2 linked regions of the Lepisosteus oculatus genome follow. The protein of the gene in region 1 purifies or fractionates together with the protein of each later gene. This does not show direct contact. Links are inferred from orthologs where the notes say so. Each region holds a gene or a part of one and is shown on either strand. Other genes may lie near its edges.

The links. The genes of interacting proteins can lie anywhere in the genome.
Region 2: the proteins of mepcea (region 1) and heterogeneous nuclear ribonucleoprotein U-like protein 2 purify together in Homo sapiens (affinity purification with mass spectrometry; 3 studies listed by BioGRID and IntAct, with this or other methods). This does not show direct contact. The link is inferred for Lepisosteus oculatus from reciprocal best matches to the Homo sapiens genes MEPCE and HNRNPUL2.

The regions. Positions count from the first base shown.
Region 1 is NC_090698.1:10,420,765-10,428,720, reverse strand, and holds the start of mepcea (7SK snRNA methylphosphate capping enzyme), read right to left. Parts: upstream 3,048-7,956; 5' UTR 2,964-3,047; intron 2,935-2,963; exon of another isoform or gene 2,384-2,934; intron 1,771-2,383; exon of another isoform or gene 1,627-1,770; intron 1,542-1,626; coding exon of another isoform or gene 1,497-1,541; coding exon 1-1,496. Other genes in the region: zinc finger CW-type PWWP domain protein 1-like, read left to right, coding at 6,179-7,003. UniProt on the Homo sapiens protein: S-adenosyl-L-methionine-dependent methyltransferase that adds a methylphosphate cap at the 5'-end of 7SK snRNA (7SK RNA), leading to stabilize it.
Region 2 is NC_090713.1:23,278,213-23,285,929, reverse strand, and holds the start of heterogeneous nuclear ribonucleoprotein U-like protein 2, read left to right. Parts: upstream 1-4,669; 5' UTR 4,670-4,832; coding exon 4,833-5,736; intron 5,737-5,885; coding exon 5,886-5,982; intron 5,983-6,066; coding exon 6,067-6,143; intron 6,144-6,511; coding exon 6,512-6,651; intron 6,652-6,742; coding exon 6,743-6,842; intron 6,843-6,941; coding exon 6,942-7,054; intron 7,055-7,137; coding exon 7,138-7,401; intron 7,402-7,610; coding exon 7,611-7,717. Other genes in the region: ttc9c (tetratricopeptide repeat protein 9C), read right to left, coding at 1-92, 693-704; transmembrane protein 179, read left to right, coding at 1,549-1,850, 1,990-2,127, 2,464-2,542, 2,854-3,054.

The DNA.
Region 1 (7,956 bases):
CTGCGCCGCTGCCGCGCCTCCTCGGCCGCCAGCTCGGACAGGTAGTGCCGGACGTTCTGCCGCGCGGCGTGCACCAGCGCGCCGTCGATGTCCAGGCCGGTGACGCGGGCCGGCTGCCAGTTCTTGGCGAGGGTCAGCGTCAGGTGGCCCGTGTTGCAGCCCAGGTCCAGCACGGCCTTGCCCCGGAACCACTCGGGCCGCAGCACCCTGACGCGCGGGTCCTCGCTCCAGCCAGGGTTGCGGTAGCCGTAGTACTTGTTGTAGTTTCCGTACTGGAACTTGCGCTGCTGCTGCTGCTGCTGCTGCTGGCGGCGCCGCCGGTGCGTCCCGGCGCCCCCGCGGGCGCACGAGGCCGAGGCGGCGCTGCCCGGCGCCCCCATCCCGCCGGCGCCCCCGCCCACGGGGGTCTGGAAGGTTTGGGCTTGCTGCCGGGCCGCCCGCCCCTTCTCCGGGGTGACCTTGCGGCCGCCCGCGGCGGGGCCCGGCCCGGCGGCGGCCGAGGAGGAGTCGGACTTGCTGGACGTGCGCCGGCGCTTGCGGTGCCTCGCCGGGCAGGAGGGCGGCGCCGCCGAGCCCGGGGGGGCCGAGGCGCAGGAGGAGGGGTCGGCCGCGCTGGGCGGCAGGATGGGCTGCACCACCTCGTCGCGGCAGTTGATGGAGGTGTTGAGCTCGTAGGGCCGCGGGGACTCCGGCACGGGCGTGAGGCCGGCCCCGGGCGCGGCGCCCTCGGCGGGGGCCTGCGGGACCGCGCTCCCGGGCACGGAGGAGGACAGCGCCGCCCCGGCGCCCCGGCCCTCGCGCAGGGCGCCCGCCCGGCCCGGCTCGGCGGGGTCCGGCTGCGTGGAGACGCCCCCCCCGCCGCCGCCGCCGCCGCCGCCTCCGCCGTGGTGCCGGTGCCGGTGCCGCTTGCGGCCCCCGCCGCCCGTCTTCATGGGCGACACCAGCAGGCCGGTCTCTCCGCCGGCGCAGTTCAGGTTGAGCGGGTCGGTGATGTCCTTGGGGATCAGGATCTCCACCGGGTCGCGGCTCTTGGCGGGCAGCGGGGAGGACTTGGGCGTCTCGGCGTTCAGCGCGCGGTTCACCTCCTCGTCCAGCAGGCTGTTGAGGTTCAGGGGGTCGAAGATGTTGCCCCCCAGGAGGAAGTTGGTGGGCAGCACGGGGTCGCTCTCCGAGTTGGCGCGCCGCCGCCTCTTGCTGAAGCCGGGGTGCTTGAACCCCACGTTCACGCTGTTCCTGCGCTTGAAGGCCTTCTGCTGCTGCTGCTGCTGCTGCTGCTGCTGCTGGAGCCCGTTCTTGGGCCTGGCGGCGCCGCAATCCCGGCCCGGCTGCTCCGCCGGCTCCGTGCCCGCTTGGGCGGCGGCGCCCCCCTGCGGGCGGGGGGCGCTGCTGCGGTCGCCGGCGCACTCCCCCTCCGGCTGCGCGCGGCGCTGGGGCTGGTCCTGGGGCCCGCTGGCGCCCAGCCCGGCCGGCTCCTTGTCCACCGACATCTCGATCATCTCCTGCTGGGCCCCGGGGCGACGCCGGCGGCACTGCGCATGGACCTGCGGAGCAGACACAGGGGGGCGAGAGTCAGCGCGGCACGGCGGCGGGGAGCACCGCGTCTCCCACCCCTCCCATCCCGCTCACCTCATAGGCCGCCCGACGATCGCTCTAGCCCCTCTCACCTCTACAACAACTCCCCCCCCAGCCTCCTCTGGCCTTGAGAGCACCAGCACACTTTCCCCGACAAAGACGTGTTTCACAGAAACCAGGCAGCCAAGCAGCCCGTCCCTGCAGAAAACAGAATTCCTTCAGCGGCTGACAAACGTCTTTCTTTTGTTTTTTTAGTCCTCGGCACTAGGAGCTGCTTGGCTTTGCGAATGAGCTGCCGAGTCTCTTGTCCATGTGCTTTGTGGTAGCAGCAAAGCAGGAAAAAAAAAACGTTGTCTATTCGTCCGGCAGCGTCAGCCCACCCTCTCCCGTGCGTGCCCCTGCGTGCTCCCGCCCCCTCCCGGCAGCGAGGAAGAGATTTGCATAGCCACGCCCCCGCGTCGCCAAACGTCCCCCCGCGCTCATGAATAATTCATGAGACATAGGAGCTCTATGGAGGCAAGAAAAAAAGCGCACACATACACACACACACGGAGACACAGATACACACATACACGCAGCCTGGTCGCCGTATTCTCCGCCTTCCCGTTTGCTGAAGCTGCACCCCCAACTTTCCCTCCCCCGAGTTTTTTTAGTAAGTCAATCGGAAAAATTAAATCCACCCAACAACTGACTTGGCGAGAGACATTTTTTTTTCTGGATCGTGCCCGCAAGTTTTGTTTTTTCTTAAATATATATTTATACATTAAAAGTACCACACGAAATCAAAAAGTATGAAATCTGCAAGACCCACCCCCTCCAAGAAATCAGTTTTCGTCTGAACTGAATTATTTAAAAAACAAAAAAACAATTTTTTTGTTTGAACTCGCAGTCAGTGTGTGTGTGAGTGTCAGTGAGCTCTCTCTCGCTGGACCCCCCTCTCGCGGCTCTAATCAGCGAGACTAGCTCGAGCTGCTGGATCTCGCGCTGCGTTTTGGCGTCTCCTCGAGCTTTATATGTCTCTCGTGTAGCCCAGGAAAAAAAGACCGGCAGCCACGCCAGCCAATCAGAGGAGGAAATACCTCCCCGCCTTTCTTCGTCTGACCAATAGGAAGGAACGGGGGGAGAGGCGTAACGACTAACCTCGTCTCTTCCTCCCCCCTTTTCCCTGTAGGTCTCTAGTACAGTGCCTGACAAAAATACATTTCCCACAAGGGCTGGACGCTATTTTTATAAACCAACGCCCTAATATGCGAAAAACAAATGAAAATAATTTCACTGCGTCTCGGCTGACTTTCAGCGTTGGCCTGTTTTTTTTTAATTACAACCGACAGCACTTTTTCTCCCTGTTCAGACAGGAAACCGCCGCGGCCACCCCAACCCGTGTAAACAACCTGGTGTTTCACTGCCGCCGGAACGAATCTCGCTCTTTCTCCGGCACAGCCGCACCCACACAAAGGACGATAAAATGCTCGCACGCTGAATAGTGTGATGTGTCTTCGAGAAAGAAAGTCGTAGCGGTTAAAACGCGGTCCCCGCCCCCTCCCCCTTCCACCGCTTCCCCTCCCCCCCAGCACTCGGCGCTTGCCTGCGACAGCACGTGAGGCAGGTCCTCGAGCCTTCCGTGGAGGATTCTGGGACATGTAGTTTTCCCAGTCGCGACAGTCCACTCCAGACGGTTTCGCGACTGGAGAGCTTCTTCCTAAACGCGCACAGTGAAGCGCAAGGCGTGTTATAAACGCACCTCTTTCCACTGACGTCTTCTTAAGCACGTCAGTCTTTTACCCTCTGATGACCGTCTTCGAGTTACAAAGCTCACCACAGCGAATTCACCGTGAAGAACTAACGTTGTTCAGTGACCCCGTGGTTCACGCAGCGGCATCTACACGACTAGATGCTTGCAAAATCCAGCCGCCCCCCCCCCCTTCGTTCGATACAACGTTATTCACTCCTCCACTTCATTTTATTACAATAAAGCCACCCGCAGTGGAGCGTTTTAGAACTGTCCCCTGCGCACAGGTGCCGGCTGAGTGACAGAGGTCAGTCCTCTCTCGTGTGATGTTCCCACCCGCGGGCCCGGGCTGGACCGACTTCACGCCTCCAGGCCCCCGTGTCGCCCGAACGGCGCACACGTTCCCACGAAGCGTTAACCAGGAGTAAGCGCCCCTCGCACCACCCAGGCAACGTACACAATAAATCGAGTGGCCTGTGGTCTGTCGCAGTTTCGGCCTCCCTTGTCCATTAATCCCGGTTCGGCGGAGATTTTTAACCAGGTGCGGCACATAACCCCCTTCCACAGCCCCGCGAACACCAGCAGTGAGTTACTGTGATGTGTTGCTGCTACTGACCTCCGTTTCCATCGCGTTCCTTGAACACACAGGCGCCCGGAGTGCACAAATCCTGTCGCAACACGCGAAGCACAGGAGTCGGGAAACCAGCGAACCGGTTGTCAGCCAGTGCTGGATAAAATCCGAGGAGGCAGAACAGGTAAATAAGAATAGGCCAGTTGGCAGCATCCATAAAGATAACTGGTAAGAATGTGTCCACAAACACCACTCGTTGAGGTAAATTCATTACAGATTAACGTGGTTTAGTCGTCGTTCTGGCGCTCTTCTGACGTCATGATACATCGTTAACAGCTGGAACAGCATTTCTTGTATATTTTCTCCCGCTTTGTGATATTCTTTCTTTACAACGATAACAGAGTACAGTAATAACCCTCAGACGTCAGGCCTACGTGCAAAGAAATAACATTGAAATAAATGCTAGTATTTCCATGTAAACGTGCCACTCGCCTGCTATTTCAACTACACTGACTCCGTTGGCGAGGGCAAGTGAACGAGTAACCGTAGTGCTGAGGAGCCGAGGACTGTGGCATTTTTTTGATCCCTTGCATACATGATATAACCGCTCTTTTGTAGAGTGTTTTTACACAATGTATTATTCCGTATTGTGTTAGATCTTAGATCTGGCTCGAGACCGCCCTCGGCCCAGCGTGCTCGGAGGGCGGCAAGGCGCGCGAGACCTACCCCGTTGCCCGCGCCAGTCCTCGCCTCGCTGCCCCTAAAAAACGGCTCTAAAACTTGTGACGAATTTTGTTCAGCTTTGTGTTCTCCATCTCCGAGTTTTACTTGTTAAGACAGAAACCTGGCGGTTTTGTGGAGAATGGACGAAGGAAAAGGTAAAAAAAGGAGCGTTTTTTCTCTTTTAATCTTGTTCCAGCCTGGGTAGGCAAGGCCCGGTCCAGCTGTGGGATTTCCGTCACGGTACCCGCGACCGGTGTTACTTGGGACCAATGACTTTTTTATGAATTTATTCTACATTTGCTTGTGTTCTGTTCACATTTTCCCGAGTTTTTATTTTAAAGATGTGATACCCCTCTTTGAACGGATAACATGTTACTTTCAGTCGCTTTTCCCAACCAATGTACAAACCTTATCGCCATTGGTTCTTTAGTTTTCTTTTAAAATGTAAAGAAATGGATGAGATCGCAAGTAAATGAATACACTTCATAAATCCGAAGTCATTGTTTTCAGTAAAAGAAACAACAGTTTCTATCCACCGTACAGAAAATGTGATTCGATTACATTTGACTGCAATTTAACATACAGATCGTCAATCTGTCTTCGATGTGAATTACATAGACAATTGGGGCTTTAATTATTTAAATCTTTCCTTTTTCGGGTGTCTGGTCTGGAAGGAAATTGACAGTACGTTTTAACAATGTTTATATGAGACCCACCACCAAATATTGTACATTGAGGTTTAATAATATTGGAAACCTGGTTGAGAACCTTTCAAAAACCAAATTATTACAAATCTCAAGTGACTCCCTAAAGTAAATGTGGGTAAATTATGTAAAACACATACATAATTCAAAGACCTGCACGTGTCTGAGACCAAGGTTGTGTATGTGAGACTGCAAGCGTGAATGTGTTACTTAAGAGTGTGTGAGTCCTTGAGAGTCTGTCTGTGGGTGTGTGTGAGTCTTGATAGTGTGTCTGGGTTGTGTGTGAGTCATGAGAGTATGTCTGGGGTGTGTGTGTGAATCTTGAGAGTGTATTTGGGTGTGGGTGAGTCCTGAGAGTGTGTCTTGATGAACTCACCTACTGTGTTTTCTCAAATAAGGCGACAGTGGTGCAGTGGTTAGCGCTGAAGCCCAGTAGCACTGGGGCCCAGGCTGCTATCTGTGTGGAGTTTGCGTGTTCTCCCTGTGTTTGCGTGGGTTTCCTCCCACAGTCCAAAGCCATGCTGGCAGGTTCATTGACTTCTGGGAACACTGGCGCTGGTGTGAGTGTCTGTGTGTGTACCCTTTGCACAAAGGGTGGTGGGAGTGTGGATCAAGCTGTCCAGATGTGTTGCTAAAGCCGATATCCAGGGCCCTTTCATGAAACAGCTGGACAAGATCTTGGCATCGATTGGCTACCAACTAGCAAACCTGGCACATGTGCCAACAGGCCTGCTCTCGCCTGCCACCTTCCTCCTGTGCTTCAAGAGTGATTCCTGAAATCTGACAGCGAGTCCTCCGGCAGCTTGTCCAGCCGGCGTTCTTGGATTTAAGCACGACAGCGTTTCAGATGTGTGTGTCCCTAGTTTATGTCCCATCAGTATGTCTTTGTGTTGTGCAGAGAAGCTGAAGATGAAGAAGCCAAAGTTCGCTCCCCCAGTCGCCCTGGGTGGGCCGGGCGACGGACAGGGGAAAGGGCCGCAGGAGGAGAGGGGAGCAGGAGTGAGGGAGAGGGAAAAGGCGGCGGGGTCGAGAGGAAGGCCATGTCGGAAGGCCGGCGAGGAGAGCCCGGGACGGGGAATCGGAGCAGGGAGAAGCGCAGGAGAGGAATCCACGGAGGTGTTGGGAAAGGGGCCGATTCCTCGGACGGGGAAGAGCAGGTCAGCGGCTGCGGGCGGCAAGAGGCCCGAGGAGCGGAGCCTGAGGGTGCCGGGGCTGGAGGGCCAGGCAAGGGAGCTCCTGGGGCCTGGGAGGACAGGGGGGGAGAGAAGGAGGAAGGGGAAGGCTGTAGGCCCCGGTGGAGGTTCGGGAAGGGGAGAGGGGTGGGAGGAGAAGACCCTCCGGGGGGAAGAGGAGGAGGGCACTGCGCGGCCAGGCCCAGCTGGGATAAAGGAGAGCCTGGCAGGCTGCACGGGTGGAAAGGGCTGGGCGGGATTGCAGCCCGGAGGCAAGAGAGCGGGAGCCGCAGAGCCGAGCGGGAGGAAGAAGGACAGAGTGGGCGGCCAGCGCGGAGACAGGCCACTGCCCGGAGGGACGGGCTCTGTCCTGAAAGAGGGAGCAAAGGAGGGAGACCGGCCCAAAAGCGACAAGAAGAAACCAAAGATGAAAACTGGGGAGTCAGACCAGGAGCCTGAGGAGAAACCTAGAGGCCTACCTGTCTGGAGGACAACAGGGGAAGAGAGGGCAGGGACCCCAAAAAACAGCAAGGTAACAGAGGGGTGAGAGAAGAGTGTGGGTTAGAGAGGGGGTGAGAGAGGAGTGTGGGTTAGAGAGGGGGTGAAGGAGGGTGGGTGAGAGAGGAGTGTGGGTTAGAGACGGGGTGAGAGGGGAGTGTGGGGGTGAGAGAGGAGTGTGGGTTAGAGAGGGGGTGAGGGAGGGTGGGGTGAGAGAGGAGTGTGGGTTAGAGACGGGGTGAGAGAGGAGTGTGGGGGTGAGAGAAGAGTGTGGGTTAGAGAGGGGGTGAGAGGAGTGTGGGTTAGAGAGGGGGTGAGAGAGGAGTGTGGGGGTGAGAGAAGAGTGTGGGTTAGAGAGGGGGTGAGAGAGGAGTGTGGGTTAGAGAGGGGGTGAGGGAGGGTGGGGTGAGAGAGGAGTGTGGGTTAGAGACGGGGTGAGAGAGGAGTGTGGGTTAGAGAGCGGGTGAGAGAGGAGTGTGGGTTAGAGAGGGGGTGAGAGAGGAGTGTGGGGGTGAGAGAGGAGTGTGGGTTAGAGACGGGGTGAGAGAGGAGTGTGGGGGTGAGAGAAGAGTGTGGGTTAGAGAGGGGGTGAGAGAGGAGTGTGGGTTAGAGAGGGGGTGAAGGAGGGTGGGTGAGAGAGGAGTGTGGGTTAGAGACGGGGTGAGAGAGGAGTGTGGGGGTGAGAGAAGAGTGTGGGTTAGAGAGGGGGTGAGAGAGGAGTGTGGGTTAGAGAGGGGGTGAGAGAGGAGTGTGGGGGTGAGAGAAGAGTGTGGGTTAGAGAGGGGGTGAGAGAGGAGTGTGGGTTAGAGAGGGGGTGAAGGAGGAGTGTGGGGGTGAGAGAAGAGTGTGGGTTAGAGAGGGGGTGAGAGAGGAGTGTGGGTTAGAGAGGGGGTGAAGGAGGAGTGTGGGGGTGAGAGAAGAGTGTGGGTTAGAGAGGGGGTGAGAGAGGAGTGTGGGGGTGAGAGAAGAGTGTGGGTTAGAGAGGGG
Region 2 (7,717 bases), on another chromosome or scaffold:
CCTCCCCTGGAACACCCCGCTGGCCCCTCCCCCGGGCCCCGCTCAGACCCCGCCCCCTCGGGGCCAAGCTCCGCCCCCCATCCAGCTGCACCCTGGGTGAAATACAAACAGCGGATTCAGGCGTGCGCAGGCTGCAGAGGAACAGGTAAAGGTTGATTTCTGTATCTATTTCAATACTCCGTCTCCTTTTTTGTATTTCTGGTGTTTAAATAAAAACATTTAAAAAGAAGTAAAGGTTGATTCCCTGCTGAAAAGAGAAGAAAGGAGACAACGTTTTGGCTGTCGAGCCCGTGTTCACACCCCAAGAAGGCTCCACTGCTGAAACGTTGCGTTTCCTTTCTTCTCTTTTCAGCATGGGTTTAAAGTTCTGTGCCAAAACACATTTCATCTCTCCTCTGCTCAGGTGCTGCAGTTCCCCCCACTGTGCAAAGATATATCAACTGGGTTAACTGGCATCTCCCAGCTGCCCAGCCGGACTGAGCCCCGAGTCTGTCTCCCGCTGGAGGAGCAGAGGAGGGGAATTCCTGCACTGCAGGCGGGTCGGGAGTCGCACGGGACTGTCCCACAGCAAGTATCCCACGGGCCGACGGTGCGAGTCTCGGCTCACGAGCGACTTTCACCTGTACCCTCCCCCTCAGTCCTGCCGTTAACCGCCCCGACTCCTGCTCCCTCGTCTGCCCGCAGTCCTTTACCTCTTCGGCCATGAACACCCCCTCGCCGCGCCCGCTGGACTCGCCGGCTGTGGAGCAGAGCAGCACAAGAGCTCGCCGCCGGAGCGCTCCCCCAGGCGAGTCTGCCAGTGAGAGGCTGCTTCCGCCCTCACCGCGGCGCGACCCGGAAGTCCTTGACGCCACCAGGAAGTTGGGCAAAGAAGGAGGGAGCCCCCCACCCCCGGGTCACGTGGCGGTAAGGGTTTATTTACATCCTGAACAACACTGGAATTACGAGTTATTTTTTCCCCAATGAGGGGTGATTTAACCACTTGGCAGTTTCCATGTACTGTTTCTGCGCCGGAATTGTGATTAATCGCGTAAGGAGGCTGAAGGGCTTGTGTCCGAAATGTGTCTGGGAGGGTTCACGGTATTCAAATGATTCTTTCACCAAGCGAATATCCATTCGCAGCAGCATGTCCCTATTTATGAATATGTATTTTTCCTTTCTATCCCTACTTCTGAAATCCCCTCCAAAAAAAAACAACTGCTGTATATTTCTTACTGTCAATTAATGTTTCTATACCACTTGCGCCCATCTCGAAACCGCCTGCGTCTTTATTTCATCTTGATGTGTGAACGTGTGCGTCCCAGCCGCCCTGCCTTGTTCTTCACACCACAGTCTTCCTCCCGCACTTCCCAGCCCGGTTCTTTCACGCTCTCTCTAGTCTGTGGGACTCAACACCGCTGCTCTCCGCACCCCCCACGCAGAAGGCTCGGCCTCGCCCCCGTGCACGTCGGCAGCGCGCATGACGTCAGCCGCGGCTCGGGATCCGCCCCGGCGTTTCCAGAACCGTCTCCGGGTTCCCCTCGCCAGCCGAGCCGGGCCGGGCACGCCATGGCGCCGCAGCGCCGGCTCCTCCTGGCGCACGGCGCCGCCTACGCCCTGTCCGTGCTGGGCGGCCTCCTGACGGTGGTGCCGCTGGCGCTGAACGGCTCGCACTTCAAGGGCCGGTGCCTGCTCTTCAGCCGGGGCCACTGGCGGCCGGAGGGCGGCCTCGGGGCGCCCCGGCTGCAGGTGCTGGAGTGGGGGCCGCCGGCCGCCTGCCAGCTGCCCGCCTTCGTGGGGGTGTTCACGGTGCTGTTCGGGGCCGTGCAGAGCTGGCGGAGCATCTTCTACCTGCACCGCGGGCACGACGAGTAAGTGGGGGCGGCGGGGTGCCCCGAGCTGCGCGCGGCTGCGGTACCTACAGAATGTTCATCCGCGAGCACTGGAGGCGCAGAGAGGAGGTTTAACTGCCGGGGGTCCAGCGCTGATTCTCTCTCTCTCTCTCTCCAGCACGCCGCTGTGCTCGGCTCTGACGCTGCTGCTCAGTGCCAGCCTGCTCCTTCTGTCTCTGGGCTCCAGCGTCACGCTCAGCCTGGGCTTCCAGTCCTGGTGCGACACCGTCACCGGCCAGCAGGCGGCGCCCTTCAGGTACACAGCTTCGATGCTCGGGTGCAGCGACACTGATCTGAGACACACACACCGATTCTCTGAGACACTCAGCGTGGGCACTGGGGTCAGAGAAGGGTTGGGGTGACCCAGAGACCGATCCCAGCGCACCGGTCTGGGTTAAAGTTTCACCTTTAACCTTTCACCTCCTGGGACGAGGCAGCTCCCAGTTTAGTTCGGACCCTGAGCAGCACTGCACAGGCCCACCGGACAGCACCAGGTCTTGGTCCGGTCCACCCCGATCCACCCACAGTCTTCCGAAATGTTTCAGCCTGTTTCTCACTCTGACCTCCTGCTGACCTCTCTCTCCCTCTCCAGCTGTGCAGAGGCCCAGGCCACCCCCCTGTACCTGGACGTGGACACAACAGCCTTCTACAGCGAGCTCACCTGGGCACAGGTAACACTGGACACCTGTACCGTCCTGTCAGTGTGTGTGTATGAACCCCTCTCTCTCTCAGTGCAGTGTTCATGTACTGGAGTGTCCAGTCAGTGTGTCTGTATGAACCCCTCTCTCTCTCAGTGCAGTGTTCATGTACTGGAGTGTCCAGTCAGTGTGTCTGTATTAACCCCTCTCTCTCTTAGTGCAGTGTTAATGTACTGGAGTGTCCAGTCAGTGTGTCTGTATTAACCCCTCTCTCTCTTAGTGCAGTGTTAATGTACTGGAGTGTCCAGTCAGTGTCTGTATGAACCCCTCTCTCTCTGTCCCAGGCTGGCCTGTGGGGAGTGTCCGTGCTGTGGCTGGCCCTCTCTGTGCTGTCTTTCCTGAGGCTGTATTGCTCCCACAGGAGGGAGGTACTAGGGCCCTGCCTGGCCAGGGAGAAGGAGCTCCTGCTGGGACTTGGCTGTGACCCTCAACCTATGACCTCTCACCCCTGCACACATGAACACCCCGCTGGGCACTTTATCTGACCTCCACACATACGCACATAAACTGCACTGACCCCACTGGACACCTCAGGACAGTGTGGCCCCCAGCACTGACCCCACTGGACACCTCAGGGCAGGCACTCATGTACTTCTGACACAGAAATCATGCAGTTGTAGTAGAGCCACACACACACACACACACACACAGGGTGACCGCACTCGTACCCGCGCAGGAAACACACATGGCCGCTGGGACAGCACCCCCCGGAGGGTGGAGCTCGCCTGCCGCGGTCCGGATGACAGAGTCTGTGGCGACGCCAGCGCCGGGAGAAGTTCTCCTCGCCTCCTCAAGGGGGCGCCGGCAGGCTCGCAGCTCTCCGCCAGGGCCGCACCCGGAGGAGTCGGAGCGACGTCCGATCGGAAGGACGGAGCACGAGGGGGTCCAGTCCCTGTCTGGGGGGACCCCCCTGCTCTGAAGAGCGCCGCCTGAGGACACCCCCTTCCTCCAGGGTGCCCGGGGCTGACTGGGCTGCTGTGACCCCAGATTCCAGAGCGAGGACCCCAGGGGTGAGCAGTGACCCCTCCGGGGTGGGGCGCTGTGTTCCTGCACAGAGTGTTATTTTTCCAGGACCTGCGCGTCTGGCTGGAAGCGTGGTGGTGGTGGTTGTTGTTGGTGTTTTTTTTTAAAACAAAATTAATAAAGCTGAATTTTAACTTTGATTTTGCTTGTCCATCTTCTGACGCCGTCAGCTTGTCCCACACCCCCACCCCCCACTGTGTACAGACGTGCCAGGGGCTCGTACCTGGAGCCCAGTGCCCCTGGGGGAGGGATACAGATCGTTGGCTTCTGGGACGTCCCACGCGGGCTGGGTGAAGAGACCTTGGGGTCCCCTGTGTTTCTGCCTGGGGGGCGCCCCAACACTCGCTGCTCAACAGCACAGACAGCGGGAGAGATTCGGGGTGTCTAAACACCAGAGGACCTTGGGGTGTCGCTGGAGAGATCCCTGCCAGTCCGACCCCTGCTGCCTCACTGCCTGCATGGCCTTGGGGTCACTGCTCTGGCCAGGGGGTCACTCCGCTGGGCACGGGGTCACTGCTCTGGCCAGGGGTCACTCCGCTGGGCATGGGGTCACTGCTCTGAGCCTCTCCAGTAGGGATGCTGGGGACCCCATAATGAAAAGAGTCACTTGGGGTGGCTGGTATGCTTTTAATACTGCAATTCGCAGTATTTGCAGCGTACTTGTAAGATAATAAAATGATAAATTTGTTTATGTTGATGAAGCTAACAGTTGTTTTCCTGCTTCGTTTTGATCAAGTGGCCATTTTGACAGACGTCACTTCCCTAGTTTCTCGACTGAAACCTTCTCAGTGTCCAATGGGTTTCTTTTTATTCCTAATCAGAAGCTTTCCGCTTACAGCCAATAGAAAAAAAGCCCAGGCCTAACCCCTTCGTGTTGCTAGGTAAAAATGCGGGCCAGTGTACCACACTCGATTTTAAAAGGAGGGTTTAAAAATCAACCGTCCAATCCAAAAAAGCGACATAACGGTGCATCGAGTGCCCAATCGGCTGCGAGAGTTGAAGCCAGTGGGCGGGGTGACGGTCTCCTCTACCAATCAGAAAATTTATGTTCCCATGCGTCGTTGCTAGGTAAAACTCACGTAGGCTGGCCAGTCCCCGTTTCTTCCTTTCGTCAGGTGACGCTGTATTTACAAACTGTAACGGGATCTGATAGCGGGCAATATATTTTTTAAAAATTAGGGGGAGACGGGATAATTTTTTTTTTTAACCAGAAAAAGGGAGGACAGACACTGAAGTGGAAATGAGCGCGCTGGACGTGAAGAAGCTGAAAGTGGCCGAGTTACGGACCGAGCTGCAGCAGCGCGGCCTGGACACTCGAGGGCTGAAGGCCGACCTGGTGGAGCGGCTGCTGGCCGCCATCGAGGCCGAGACGGCGGGGGCGGCGCCAGGAGAGGCCGGGGATGTCGGGCCTACGGAGGTGGACGCCGGGGAGCCCCAGGAGGCCCCAGGAGGGGAGACCGAGGCGGTTGAATTGACGGCGGGGGACCAGCAGAGTATCGCTGGGGTGGAGGAGGAGGAGGAAGAAGAGGAGGAGGAGGAGGAAGTCGCCCAGGCGACGGAGGCAGAGTCGGCGAGGCCGGAGCCTCTGGAGGCCCTCGGCCCGAGCGATGCCGGGCCCCAGCCGCCCGAGCAGGCACCCAGAGAGGCAGAGACGCCCGTCGAAGCTGCTCCCCCGACGGTGGACGTACAGCCGGACCCGAAGCCGCTCTCCGAAGCAGAAGAGGCTGTCAGCCCGGCCCAGGCGTCGCCTGCCCCTTCCCCGCAGAGGCCCGCGGCCCAGGAGCCCCAGCCGATCGAGGCGCCGGGGGAGCAGACAGCCAGGCCTGGAGACGCACGGCCACAGCAGCCCGAAGGCCCATCCGCGGAACAGGACACCCAGGCCTCCCCGCCGGGCGCCGAGCCGGGGGCTGGAGTAACCGGCTCGCCGGTGAGGAACGCCCAGTCGCCGGCCAGAGCCAAGGAGACGCCGGCCGCGAGCAGCGAGGCGGCCGCCGCCACACCAGCCCCGGCCTCCACGGGCAGCGCAGCGCAGGGGGACGGGGTGAACGGGCAGCCTCAGGGCCGGCCGGGGGCCGCCGAGGGAGGCAGCGAGGAGTCCGGCTCGGAGATGGAGGCGGACGGGGAGCCGACCGGCGAGGGGACGGGTGAGGAGCCGCCGTGGAGCTGCGTGTGCAGCCTGACAGGGCCGGAGGGGGGCTGGCGGAGCCCGGGTGTGCAGCAGTCTGATCCGCTCCGGGTCTGCGGGCCCCGTGTCGGGTCTCTGCCGCGCTGACTTGTCTCCCTCTCCCGGCAGGGGCGGCGGCCGAGGGCGAGCGCCGGGGGGTGAAGCGGCCGCACGGCGAGAGGGGCCGGGGCTACTACGAGTTCAAGGAGGAGATCAACTACAACAGGTAGGTCGCGGGGCCGGGGGACTAAGGGGCCCGGGGGGCGCAGAGACACGCGTGTTCCTGACTGTGTCTGTGTCCGCGCTGCAGGGCCAAGTCTCCAGACCCGGAGCCGGAGCTGGGTGAGGAAGAGGAGGTGGACGAAGGACAAGTGCGCCTGGATTCCTGTGAGTCAGCTGGCCGTCCTCTGACACGCACACTGTGACTCGGGGTCACGCTCTCCTGGGGGCTCTGTGACTCGGGGTCACTGTGCCTCGGGGGCTCTCTTGGGGGTCACTGTACCTCTGGGGCTCTCTTGGGGGTCACTGTGACTCAGGGTCATGCTCTCCTGGGGGTCACTGTGCCTCTGGAGCTCTCCTGGGGGTCACTGTGACTCAGGGTCATGCTCTCCTGGGGGTCACTGTGCCTCTGGAGCTCTCCTGGGGGTCACTGTGACTCAGGGTCATGCTCTCCCGGGGGTCACTCTACCTCGGGGGCTCTCCTGGGGGCGTGTGTGTGTTGTGTAACGGCAGCCCCCCCTGTCTCTCTCCCCCAGACAACAGCGACCTGCACTTCGAGGTGGGGAAGGGCGCGCTGGGCGGGCAGCCCCTCTTCTCCGAGCGGTTCCCCTTCCTGTGGTCGGGCTGCAGGGTCACCCACGGCGTCGCGCAGGGGCAGGTCGGGTTCGAGGCCAAGGTGGGTGCGCTCGTCCGTCCTGCGCTGAGAGAGAGGCGCACGCACTCACACACGCACACACACTGACGCGCGCTGTCCGCCCGTCCTGCAGTTCGTCAGGAAGCTGTCGGACAAGGAGCTGCAGCCCGACGACCCGGAGGTGCCGGTGCTGAGAGTCGGCTGGTCGGTGGACGGGTCCAGCTTCCAGCTGGGTGAGTATCTGCCCCCGAGCGCGTCCCTGCTAACTGCCCCCCTTCTGCTAACTGCCCCGGCCCACGCGTGACCTCTCCCCTGCTCCCCGCCCCCCGCAGGAGAGGACGACCTGTCCTACGGGTATGACGGACGGGGCAAGAAGGTGACGGGGGGCCAGGCGGAAGACTTCGGGGAGCCCTTTGCGGAGAACGACGTGATCGGCTGCTTCGCGGTGAGTCGGGGGGGCCGTCCCCGGGAGGGGTGTCTCGCCGCCCGCCCCGGGTGCCGAGCTGACCCGCGGCCCTCTCTCCCCAGAGCTTCTCGGACGAGGAGGTGGAGCTGTCCTTCCAGAAGAACGGCTGCCCGCTGGGCGTGGCGTTCCGCGTGGGCCGCGGGCCCCTGGCCGGCCGCGCGCTCTTCCCCCACGTGCTCTGCCGCAACTGCGCCGTGGCGCTGCACCTGGGCCAGGAGGAGGCGCCCTGGCACCCCGGCCCCGCCGGCTTCGCCCTGCTGCACTCCCTGCCCCCCGAGCAGCGCGTGCGCGCGCCCGTGGCGCCCCGGACCAAGGAGGAGTGCGAGGTGGGTGGGCGTCCGCGCCGTCGGCCGCAGAGCGCGACCCTCGCGAGACCCGTCCCCCTGGCGACGAACGGGGGTCGTGACCCTCTGTGGCTGAGCTCAGGGGAGGCACAGAAGGCGAAGGTCGTGGGAGGGTTTTGTGGGCCCGAACCTCTAAAGTTCGGGGTTCACAGTGACCCCTGACCGCTGTGTGTGTGTGTGTGTCTTGCCAGGTTATTCTGATGGTGGGCATGCCTGGTGCCGGGAAGACCCACTGGGCCCGGAACCACATGGCCCAGAACCCAGAGAAGCGCTACAACCTGCTGGGGACCCGGACCGT